Coturnix japonica: one gene and its partner. The protein of the gene in region 2 interacts with the protein of the main gene of each other region in a pairwise test. Links are inferred from orthologs where the notes say so. Each region holds a gene or a part of one and is shown on either strand. Other genes may lie near its edges.

What was found. The genes of interacting proteins can lie anywhere in the genome.
Region 1: the proteins of LMO2 (region 2) and PRKG1 interact in binary tests that used the Homo sapiens proteins (3 or more experiments, as listed by UniProt). The two-hybrid records come from large-scale screens. The link is inferred for Coturnix japonica from reciprocal best matches to the Homo sapiens genes LMO2 and PRKG1.

The regions. Positions count from the first base shown.
Region 1 is NC_029521.1:5,668,531-5,673,250, reverse strand, and holds the start of PRKG1 (cGMP-dependent protein kinase 1), read left to right. Parts: upstream 1-1,775; 5' UTR 1,776-1,903; coding exon 1,904-2,214; intron 2,215-4,720. UniProt on the Homo sapiens protein: Serine/threonine protein kinase that acts as a key mediator of the nitric oxide (NO)/cGMP signaling pathway. GMP binding activates PRKG1, which phosphorylates serines and threonines on many cellular proteins.
Region 2 is NC_029520.1:6,397,972-6,402,806, reverse strand, and holds the start of LMO2 (rhombotin-2), read right to left. Parts: upstream 3,161-4,835; 5' UTR 2,929-3,160; coding exon 2,922-2,928; intron 2,842-2,921; coding exon 2,664-2,841; intron 1-2,663. UniProt on the Homo sapiens protein: Acts with TAL1/SCL to regulate red blood cell development. Also acts with LDB1 to maintain erythroid precursors in an immature state.

The DNA of each region.
Region 1 (4,720 bases), on a different chromosome or scaffold from region 2:
GGGCTCAGGAAGACAAAGCGGCTGCTTGGAGAGCCAAAGATTTTTTGATGGGAACATGGAGTTGGGAGCACTGGGACAGGAACATTTATGTTTATTGGAGGGGGGTGGTAACACCTACCTGAGGGGTTCCTTGCCAAAAACAGGCAACCTGCTGCTGCCTTCGGGTAGCAGAGCTCAGCTGGCAGCTTGAGAAGGTCTATAGGGTGCTTCACTCTCTGGCAACCAGGGAAGACCAGACATGAGTTTATTGGTTATAGGCACAGATCTAAAATCGAGCCCTACAGTCTTTCCTCTAGGCCTTATGCAAACTTGTCTTCCACCTGTAAACCAAGATTTCCTTCACGTATATTTAAATTCCATGCCAGTTTTATTTCTCATAATGTCTCATGTTTTTCCTCTGCATCCTTTCTTATCTCTGTAATGTTGGCTCAGTTGCAGGCTGTGCACCTCCAGTAATAACTGAGCAGCGTGGTTTTGCTGCTTGTCATTGAGAAATTATGCATGAGTTTCCCTTAGGGCTGTTGTTCTCCGGGAGCCTGGTGGGCTTCAGCAAACTGTATCACATGCAAACTGTATCACATGCAAACTGTATCACATCTTCCTGGTCCAGGGGGACAAATCGCTTCTGGGGGAAGGAAAACAGCAAGATTGTAAGCACACTGGCTTGATGCTATTACATTATCTTTGTTTATCATTGACTTCTAGTTTGCAGGCAGCACATGTGCATCTATTTAACACCGGTCATATTTATAAATGGAAACGTTCAGAAGATATTTGGTACTTTTGTTCCCGGGGAGTTACAGAAGGTTGCAGTGGAGGGGCTGTACAGAAAGCACTGCCTGAACTTAAAGCGGGGTGGCAACCCATGAAAACAGACAGGGACACAGGAGTGTCAAGAAGCAGCATTTTTGCACGTGCATCTTGCAAGAGGCAGGAGGTACCGAGTATGTGCTCCAGGTTTGTGAGTAGAGCCCAGGCCCTTTCAAACAGCAGAGCTGAACATGGAGCAGCTGCCGTTCCTCGTCCAGGCCTGGGGGCTAAGAGCTGTGCTGTCGTGGTGCGCAGCTCCGTTCCTTCCATGCAATGGTACCAACGTGGCTCCTCGATTTGTTGTTTTTGTGTGACAGCCCCATAAACAGCACGGCACGGGCAGAGCCCTGCAGCGCAGCGGTTGAATAAACCCTGCTGGGTTCGGGACGGCAGAAGGCAGCTTCTGTTGAAGCAATGGGGCTACGTGGAACCTACTGCCCTGACTTCAACTTGTCTTAGTGCACTGAGCCTCACACGCCCCACCGACCGGGCTCGTTCCAGCACAGCCGCTTGGCCGCTATCCCCATTGAAACAGCCTGGCTGCGGGAGCCGTGCCACCGGGAGCAGAAAGCCCCGATTCACCAGTTTATTAATAAAGAAAAGTACGAGGGGAGGGCTCAGCGTCAGCCCCAACGCTCGGTTAGAGGTGAGCGCCCGCCGCCAGGCGGGGACCCGCCCAGCCGCTGCCGCCCCGGGGCCGGGCTCTCCGGGCTGCCTCCCCCTGCCAGCGGAGGCCGGGGAGGGGAAGGGGGGGGTGGCCCGGCGGGGGCTCCCCCCGCAGCCCCCGGAGCTGCCCCCCGGCCCCATCAGGCAGCACAGCCTCGGCGCGTTCGCCCCTGCCCGCCCGCCCGCCGCCTCCCTCCGCCCCGCCGCCCGCCCGCCAGCGCGTGTGAGCTGCCTCCCGCAGCCTCGCAGCCTCGCCGGGCGCAGGCGGATCGGGAGCGCCCCGCGCCAGCCGGCTCCGGGGCCGCCGGGGGGGAGGGGGCGGGCCGGCCGAGGGGCCCCGGGCCGGAGGGGCGCGGGGAAGTTGGGCCGAACGTCGGGCGGCTCCCGGTGGAAAGTTGCCGGGAGAGGCTCGGGGCTGAGCGGGAGCATGGGCACGTTGCGGGATTTACAGTACGCGCTGCAGGAGAAGATCGAGGAGCTGCGGCAGCGGGATGCGCTGATCGACGAGCTGGAGCTGGAGCTGGACCAGAAGGACGAGCTGATCCAGAAGCTGCAGAACGAGCTGGACAAGTACCGCTCGGTGATCCGGCCCGCCACGCGGCAGGCGCAGCAGCAGAGCGCCCGCAGCCTGCAGGGCGAGCAGCGGACCAAGCGGCAGGCGATCTCGGCCGAGCCCACCGCCTTCGACATCCAGGACCTCAGCCACGTCACGCTCCCCTTCTACCCCAAGAGCCCGCAGTAAGCAGCGCCCGGCCGCCTGCCCGGTGGGAAAGTTGCGAGCGGCGGGGCTGCGGGAGGGGCCGGGGCGGCTGCCATCCTCGGGGCTTCTTTCCATCGGTACCGCAGCTCTTTAGTGGCCCCTCGGCTCCGGGACGCGGCCACGTGTGGCACCTGGCGAGCGCCGCTTCCTGCCGCCGAGCGGCCCCGGACCCCTTGCTCTCCAACACAGCGGAGCCGCGCCGCTGTCGCGCTCCGGCCGCTCCCCATCGCTGCCCCGGCACGGCGGTACCCGGCCGCCCTGCCCTGCCCTGCGCTGCCCCGCCGTCTCCTGGCAACCGCCCCGCGAGGATGGATGGAGGGAGGGAAGGGCGGCCATCGCCCGGCCCCGCCGCCGCCCCGGGACCCTCTTCCCGACTCCCCCTTCCCGCCGCCGTTTCTCCGCAGATATTTTGCCCTTTTAAGGAGAACGGCTGCGGCTCAGCCCGGCGGCGGGGAGGAACTGTGGTAGACCCGCAAAATGCCCCCAGACACCCCAGGAAGCCGGGGGGGGGCGGCTGCTGAGTACCCCCCCCCCCCCCCGGTGCCGGGCAGCTGAGGCGGGGTAAGGCGCTGCTCCGTGCTGCCAGCACACCTGTGTGCCTTTGGGATGGGGCTGCCTCTTCCTCAGCCACAGTGCACACCAACCAGTGCAGTGCACTGTCTGAAGCAGTGCTTGGTTTTAACCTCCCATGGGCAGTATTAGATGCGTGGTCCCCTTGTGCCATTTCCAGTGCTCTGAGCTAAGTTGCTGCTGCACACCTGGATCGCTGAGGTGGATCAGATGGCCTGATACCTGTGAGGCAGTGCTAGGTCTGTGGTTGTTTCAGCCACTTACTGAGTCCATGGGGCACGGCACTGCTGAGTGTTTTCAGTAGGAGCATCTAAACGGAAAGGAAGATATCCCTGTTTAAAAGTAAGCTGTATGTTCCGCTCACCAGGAGTGCTTATGATGAGAATCCAGATGAGCTGCTGTTAGTGGTGTCTGTGCTTGGGAGACTGAGGAATTGCACCTGGCCTAGTTTATTGGGATCATTAATACCCAAATAATGGGTTTTCTTGCACCTCTGTGCACGTGTTCACATGGAGAGTTTATGACTCAAATATGCAGAAGGACACATTCTGCTGATTCCTTCTGAGTTATGAGACTAGTGAGACATATCTGACCTTTCACAGGATCATTAAGGTTGGAAAAGACCTCTAAGATCATCTAATCCCAGCATCAGGAGCGGCACCTTTGTCAGCCTTTGTTTGCAGGGTAACTAGAAAAGAAGTTGTCTGAAGTAGCTTTTATTTCTCCCATCGCAGAGGTTGCCAGAAGTGGCTGCAGTAAGTGGGTAAAGACCACAGAGATGTCTGGGTGTTTTTCTCTGCTTGAGAAATGCAATGACAAATCTTTATCTCCCCTCCATCTCCTGGGATTGCTGCTCTGTTTGTTTTTCCACACCTTTGACCTCTCACGGGATATGTTCTGCCTGCTAACAGCCCGCCAGCATTGAAGTAATGCCGTGAGACAAAGTTTGTATCAGCACTTATTTCAATTAAGGTTTTCCAAAGCTGCAGACTGAAGAGTTACATTCTGAGTGAGGAACGGCCCAGCTGTTCAGTGAGATGTAACCTTTGTTTGCTTTCCTGTTTATTTAGAACATAAAATAATTTGCTGATACTTATAAATTGTATCTATTCTGTGGTACCTAGGAGTGGCCCTAGAGGAACCATCAGCCCCTCTTCATAAAGCCCACGCTTTCCTTTTTCTAAAATAATCCAGACAATGGTTGCAACATCGTCCAACCGGTCAAACCAGAGATTGATAACCTGTGATCTGAGAGGGAGACAACCGCTCTGGAGTGATTGCTTCCTGAAATGTAGGGCAGGAGCTGTGAGATCAGGAGAGGACTGGTGGCCTCTTTAGTTATGTCGCAAGGGGGTTTTGCTATCGTGCTGCAAAGGCTGTCAGCAGCCATGGATGTAAACAGGCAAGGGTGATGCAACCTTTCATTTTAATTCTGTTTGAAACTGGAATTCCGTGTGATGTGTCCAGCCACCAATTGAAATTCGTTTATGATTAAGTAATGAACTGCTGGAACTGCTTTTATATCTTACGTGATAGAATGCTGATTCAATCTGAAAGTAGTTGAACATTGTTCTGAGGAGGAATCTGTGTGCCTGGTTCTGCTGCTTCATGCTTAAGCTGCTGCTCTGGGTACGTGGGGCCTGATGCCCACCCAGCAACCTGGTCCTACTTGTGAGGTGGGCCAGGGCAGCCCTGCAGAGCTGCCTCATGAGTTGTCTGTTCTTCTGGCTCTTCTGGCATCCCACCTGCTTGTCTTCCCCTCCCAGAGCAGCTCGGAGAGCAGAGCGTCACACTTTGCAGGGATGAGTTTCCATTGCAGAGGATTATATGCTTCCTGACAGCAGTTTTACATGCGGTGTGTCAAGGACAGTGCAGAATGCGAGTCAGTCAAATGCTGCTTTCCTCTGTTTTGAC
Region 2 (4,835 bases):
ACTCTCCTAACTTGTTTATATATTTTTCTTCAAAGGATAGCACATAAACATGAAGATCTCTTTATCACCCAGGAATATTCATTACTGTAAATATACCTGCAATGTTAATAGAGAATTGGTGCCAGTGTAGATATATCCTTCTTTTTTTTCTGGCAGAGAAACCCGAATTGCTTAACATGGGGCTCAATCCACGCAGTTCTTAAAAATACATACATTTCAAACAACACAATTTTCATGTGATTGAAGACTGCACTTTTTCAGACACTTATTTAAAAAAGGTGCCTGGATTCTCTATGGAAACACTGGTCAGGTCCTTACGGGCTGACCAACAACCACATTCCTACAAGTTCTGACTATATCCTGTTTTCCAGTAATCCTGTTTTGACACAACACATAGCCAGGCTTCAGTTTCCATTCAAAATAAACCCCTTTTATTTTTTCCCCCAGTATTTTTAAGATTTACCTATAAATGCCTGTATGAACTCAGACGACATCTTGATCTACCTCTAACTTACTGAAGAGCCCCATAGAGCAGTTATGCATGCACCCCAAAGCACACAAGCCCATCGTGTAGACTTGGAGCTTTGAGCTTTGACTGTAGTTCTGCTTGGGAGCAAAGGCTATTCTGCCTCACAGAGGACTGTTGGATTAGAAAAGGTACCTGAGGGATTCTACATGTAGCCAGCTTTCCTCTGGGGAATGTAAATTTGAAGACTAATTCTGTGGATATTATTTCACTGAGCAGCATTAAATAAATAACTACAACAGATGTGGCTGCTGCCAAGCTGGTTTATGCTTTGCTGCTGCTTTGAATGAAGCCTGGATTTTATACGATGCTCAAAACCTAAAAGGAAGGCATGTGAGCTCAGTTCTGCAGTGACACAGACCCTCATCCAGACTCCAGTGAAGCTCGTAAGAAGACTTTGGGATCAGTCCTTTAGCACCTGTATCATTTCAGCCCTCTGCTAGTGGAAAGGAAATTACAGGTTTGCACCTTTAGGTTTATCTGCTTTACTGGACCATGACCAAAGTGCTCAACAGGAGGCAGAGCAGAACCTCAGACTGTTTGGGGTTCTCAGTCCACCAGTGCCATATCTCTGCCCTTGGCAGCACAGAGACATGCCGAAGGCAGAACTGGGCTGCTCTGGGATTCCAGCAGGCAACAGGAGAAATCCTATAACTGCTGCCACAAGGAGACCCATACAGTGTTTTTAGCGGGTTAGCAGTTTTCTAGGGAAAAATGACTTAGAACAAGGTGGAGAAATGACCACTGCTCAACAACTTCTGTGCTATGAAACTGATCCTTGTAGCTCTCATGAGCTGAGCCCTGGGATGTGATGAGACAAGACGCTCAGCCCACTGCTTTCCCAGTGCTCAAGCTGCTGGGCCCCAGCGGTGCTCCCCAGGCTCTGTGAGCTCTCATTGAAACTCCAGACAGTGTGGGCTGTGAAAGGAGCAGGCCCTGCTTCTTCCAAGCTTTCTCAGTTGAGCCCCAGAGTTCCTTTCCTAGAGACTGGGCTCTGCATGCCACCCAACAGAGAGTGCAGCTGCAAGGGAATACACCTTAGTGTCCCTTATTGGACATTATGCAAAACCTGAGATTGCAGCCCCAAAATATTTTGGTCTCGCAGGTTCTGGGAATCACAAGGCAGCTCTCTAACAGCCCCACACATTTCTGAGGAACAGAATTTCTTTCTTCTTCATCACTTCACCACATATTTGCATGCCAGAGAAGTCAGTAGGACACTGAGCAGGAAAGCAAATAAATTCTACTAAAGCACTGCAGTGCAAAGTGGGACACTGACACCCAGGAGTTCAGATGCTGATTTCTCAAAGATGATAGAAGAAAAAACGTAGCACGCAAAACATCAAACACAACACAGCAGGAATTGATTTAACCCACAGTGGGGATGGTTCCCCTGTGCACACTCACAGCTACAAGAGACGGCACTTGAATATCTCGCAGGGAACAAACCGCGGACGACCAAACTTAACTAAGAGCGATGTTTTAAGTGCTATCTGAAACAGGAGATTTTCTTTCTTTCTCTCTTATCACGATTCCAAAGGGGTGTAACTGCAGCTACGAAGGCACGCAGCGCTGTTTCACGCACAGTCGCCCCAGTCAAGGACGGTGAATGTCCGGGAAGGCTGCACAGAACCGGCTGCAGGACAGGACCTGCGGCTCGGCCCCTTCCACGAACATGAAAAACGGGGAAGGGAATTCTCACCACCTGCACCGTGGGGTCCCTCTGCACGCCTTTTGCGCAACACCTCCCCCAGCAAAGACCTTGAAAGTTACAAAGCGCCTCGCGTTGTGCAAATGTGGAAGTCGGGCACCCACAGATAACAGCTCCGACCTTTCGGTATAATCGGCTAAGAGCGCGGGGCAGGTCCGGGGACCCCAAACGACAACCGCTTTCAGCTTGGGCGAGAGCCCCGCAGCGGGTCCCGCAACCCAGGGGCGGCTGGAGGCGCCCGGCCCGGAGCTGCGCCCGCAGCCGCCTCCCAATGGGGCTGTCCAGCACTCGTGCTCCGGCCCCAGAGACCCCCACCGGAGAGGGGTCCCCGTGACAGCGGAGGGGAGCGCGGGGCCGGCAGGCTGCCGTCGGTGGCACCGCGAGGAACGGAGGGGTGGGGAGACAGGGAGAAAAAGAGCCACTTACTCGGAAGGATCGAGGCTCTTCCTCTCGATGGCCGATGACATTGGCAGGGATGGCTCCTTTGTAGCGTGCCTGTGGTGCGATCTGCCCCCGCTGCCCCCGCAAAGGCCGTCTGCTCTCGACGCCTTGTCACCGGCCGCGCTCCCCCTCCGCCCCCCAATGACATTCACAGGATTTCCTCCTGCAACACCAAAGAGAGACACAAACGCGGGCTGGGGCGGCTGCCGGGCTCCGGCGGCGGGGCTGCCCGCGGGCTCTAACCTCCCATCCTCGCCGCGCTCCTCCTGCGCTCCGTGCGCCGGGGCCGCCCCCCCGGCTGCGGCTCTGCGGGCGGGCGGGGGGCGACTACCGCGGCCACCGCTGTCTGCCCGCCGCTCTCCGGTGCCTGCCCGGCCGCGGTTCTCAGCTCGCCCCGCGGAGCCGGGCGGGTGCTGCGGCCGGGGAGCTCGGCATCGCTATTAGTGCTGAGCGGCGCGGCCCCGGCTCTCCGGTTTCATTTCCTTTTTCCTGATCACGATTCAAATACAATAGAAGGAAATCACGCTTAAAGAGACAGCTGCCCGTTTCTTAACTGGACTCCTGGGGGTTTAGCAACACAAACAACGGCATCACGACTCGCTCGGTTTCTTAAAGGGACAGAGCTCGGGCTCCCCGCAGCCGGAGCTGCGAGCTGACGCTGCGTTTTCACATCGCGACGTCACGGATCAGAACCGCACCGCTGCGCGGGGCTCCCGGAGAAGTGCTCGACCCGAAAGCATCCGAAGGGCTGAGGGAAACCTCGGCCGGCTCCGAGCTGCCGGCACCCCAGTCCCACAAGGGATCACAGCGGGTCACGCTCCCTCTCCTCGTCCTCCCCAGCAATACACACGCACATGCCCACGCCACGCACGTTTCGACCGGCACCTGGAGATCAGGAGCTGGGTCAGAACTCGAGCTCTGTTTTCTACCTAGAGCACAAATCGGTCAACTAATCTGTGCTTCCTTTGTATCCCGCTGTGTCCCTGAGTTACTGGTCACTCGTGTCTGCTTCCAGATGCCCCCGAGTTCTCGGTAAGCACTATAACAAATTTATATCTTGATGCTGTTTGGTGTTAATGAGCTATAAAAGCTCGTGAGCACAGTATTGATCCATAATGAATCACACGAAAGCTAAAGGTGGGCAACTCTTGCCCGAATGTCTCTATTTCCACTCCCATCCTTCCTCCCCCTCCTCTCCATCAGCACAGCACGTCCCGGAAAGAGCTGATTTACAGGGCTAGAGTGAAAACTATTACAGTGGTTATAGCATTTTCCCAGTCTGTGTGGCATGAGATCAGGGTGGCTGCTGGAGGCAGAGCCTTGGCTGAAATGAGCCACTCGCCCCACTAATTCCTTCAGAAACAGTAAGAAAAGATCAGCAGTAAAGCGCTAGCAGAAGCATTTAGCTTCTATATTAATTCCCAGAACAGAAAAACATTTGATGTCTATTTTTATGAGTACATTTTAATTTTTTCATCTTTTTGGCACCGGGGTTATAATATCTGAAATACATTAATGAGCCTGAGCCAAAGATTAGTAACGTCAGCAGAAGGGTTGTTATTCATTTCAAGGGCTTTGAACTGAGTTCTTGCAATGCTTTAGAGCCATCACTGGTCATTAGAATACATCTTATTCTTTAAAAGAGTTATCTCCAATGTATTTTAAGCCGTTACAGTATGGCAGCTGTTCTCACAACCAAATGTTCCTGTCACAGTGCAGCTCCTTTGCCAGGTTTCATGGACAGAACGATGAACATTTCATTTCTTTTACTGGCTTTAAAGGTGTGTCAAAAACAACCACCTTCAAACATAGTTGGTGTGTGTGTGTGTGTGTGTGTGTGTGTGTGAAGGCAAAACAGTATGGGGAGAGCTAGTAGGAGCAAATAAATCAATCTCCTGATGCATAACCACAAACAGTGCTTCTCCACCATGCTTAGTGGGACAGTGCTTGAGCTCAGTCTGCTTAAACAAAGAGCAATGGGGATTAATGTTACAGTACCTTGAATAAACTTGCACAGCAAAGGCACCAGGCAGTGCTTAGCCCTGCGCATCAAGAGGCAGCGTCCTGTCCTGATGGGGAGTACAAAGTTAAACTGCTCTTGGGTTTTCCTGAATGTAATTTCTCAAGAACCTTCTCTCCAGGTTTCTGGGCTGGCCT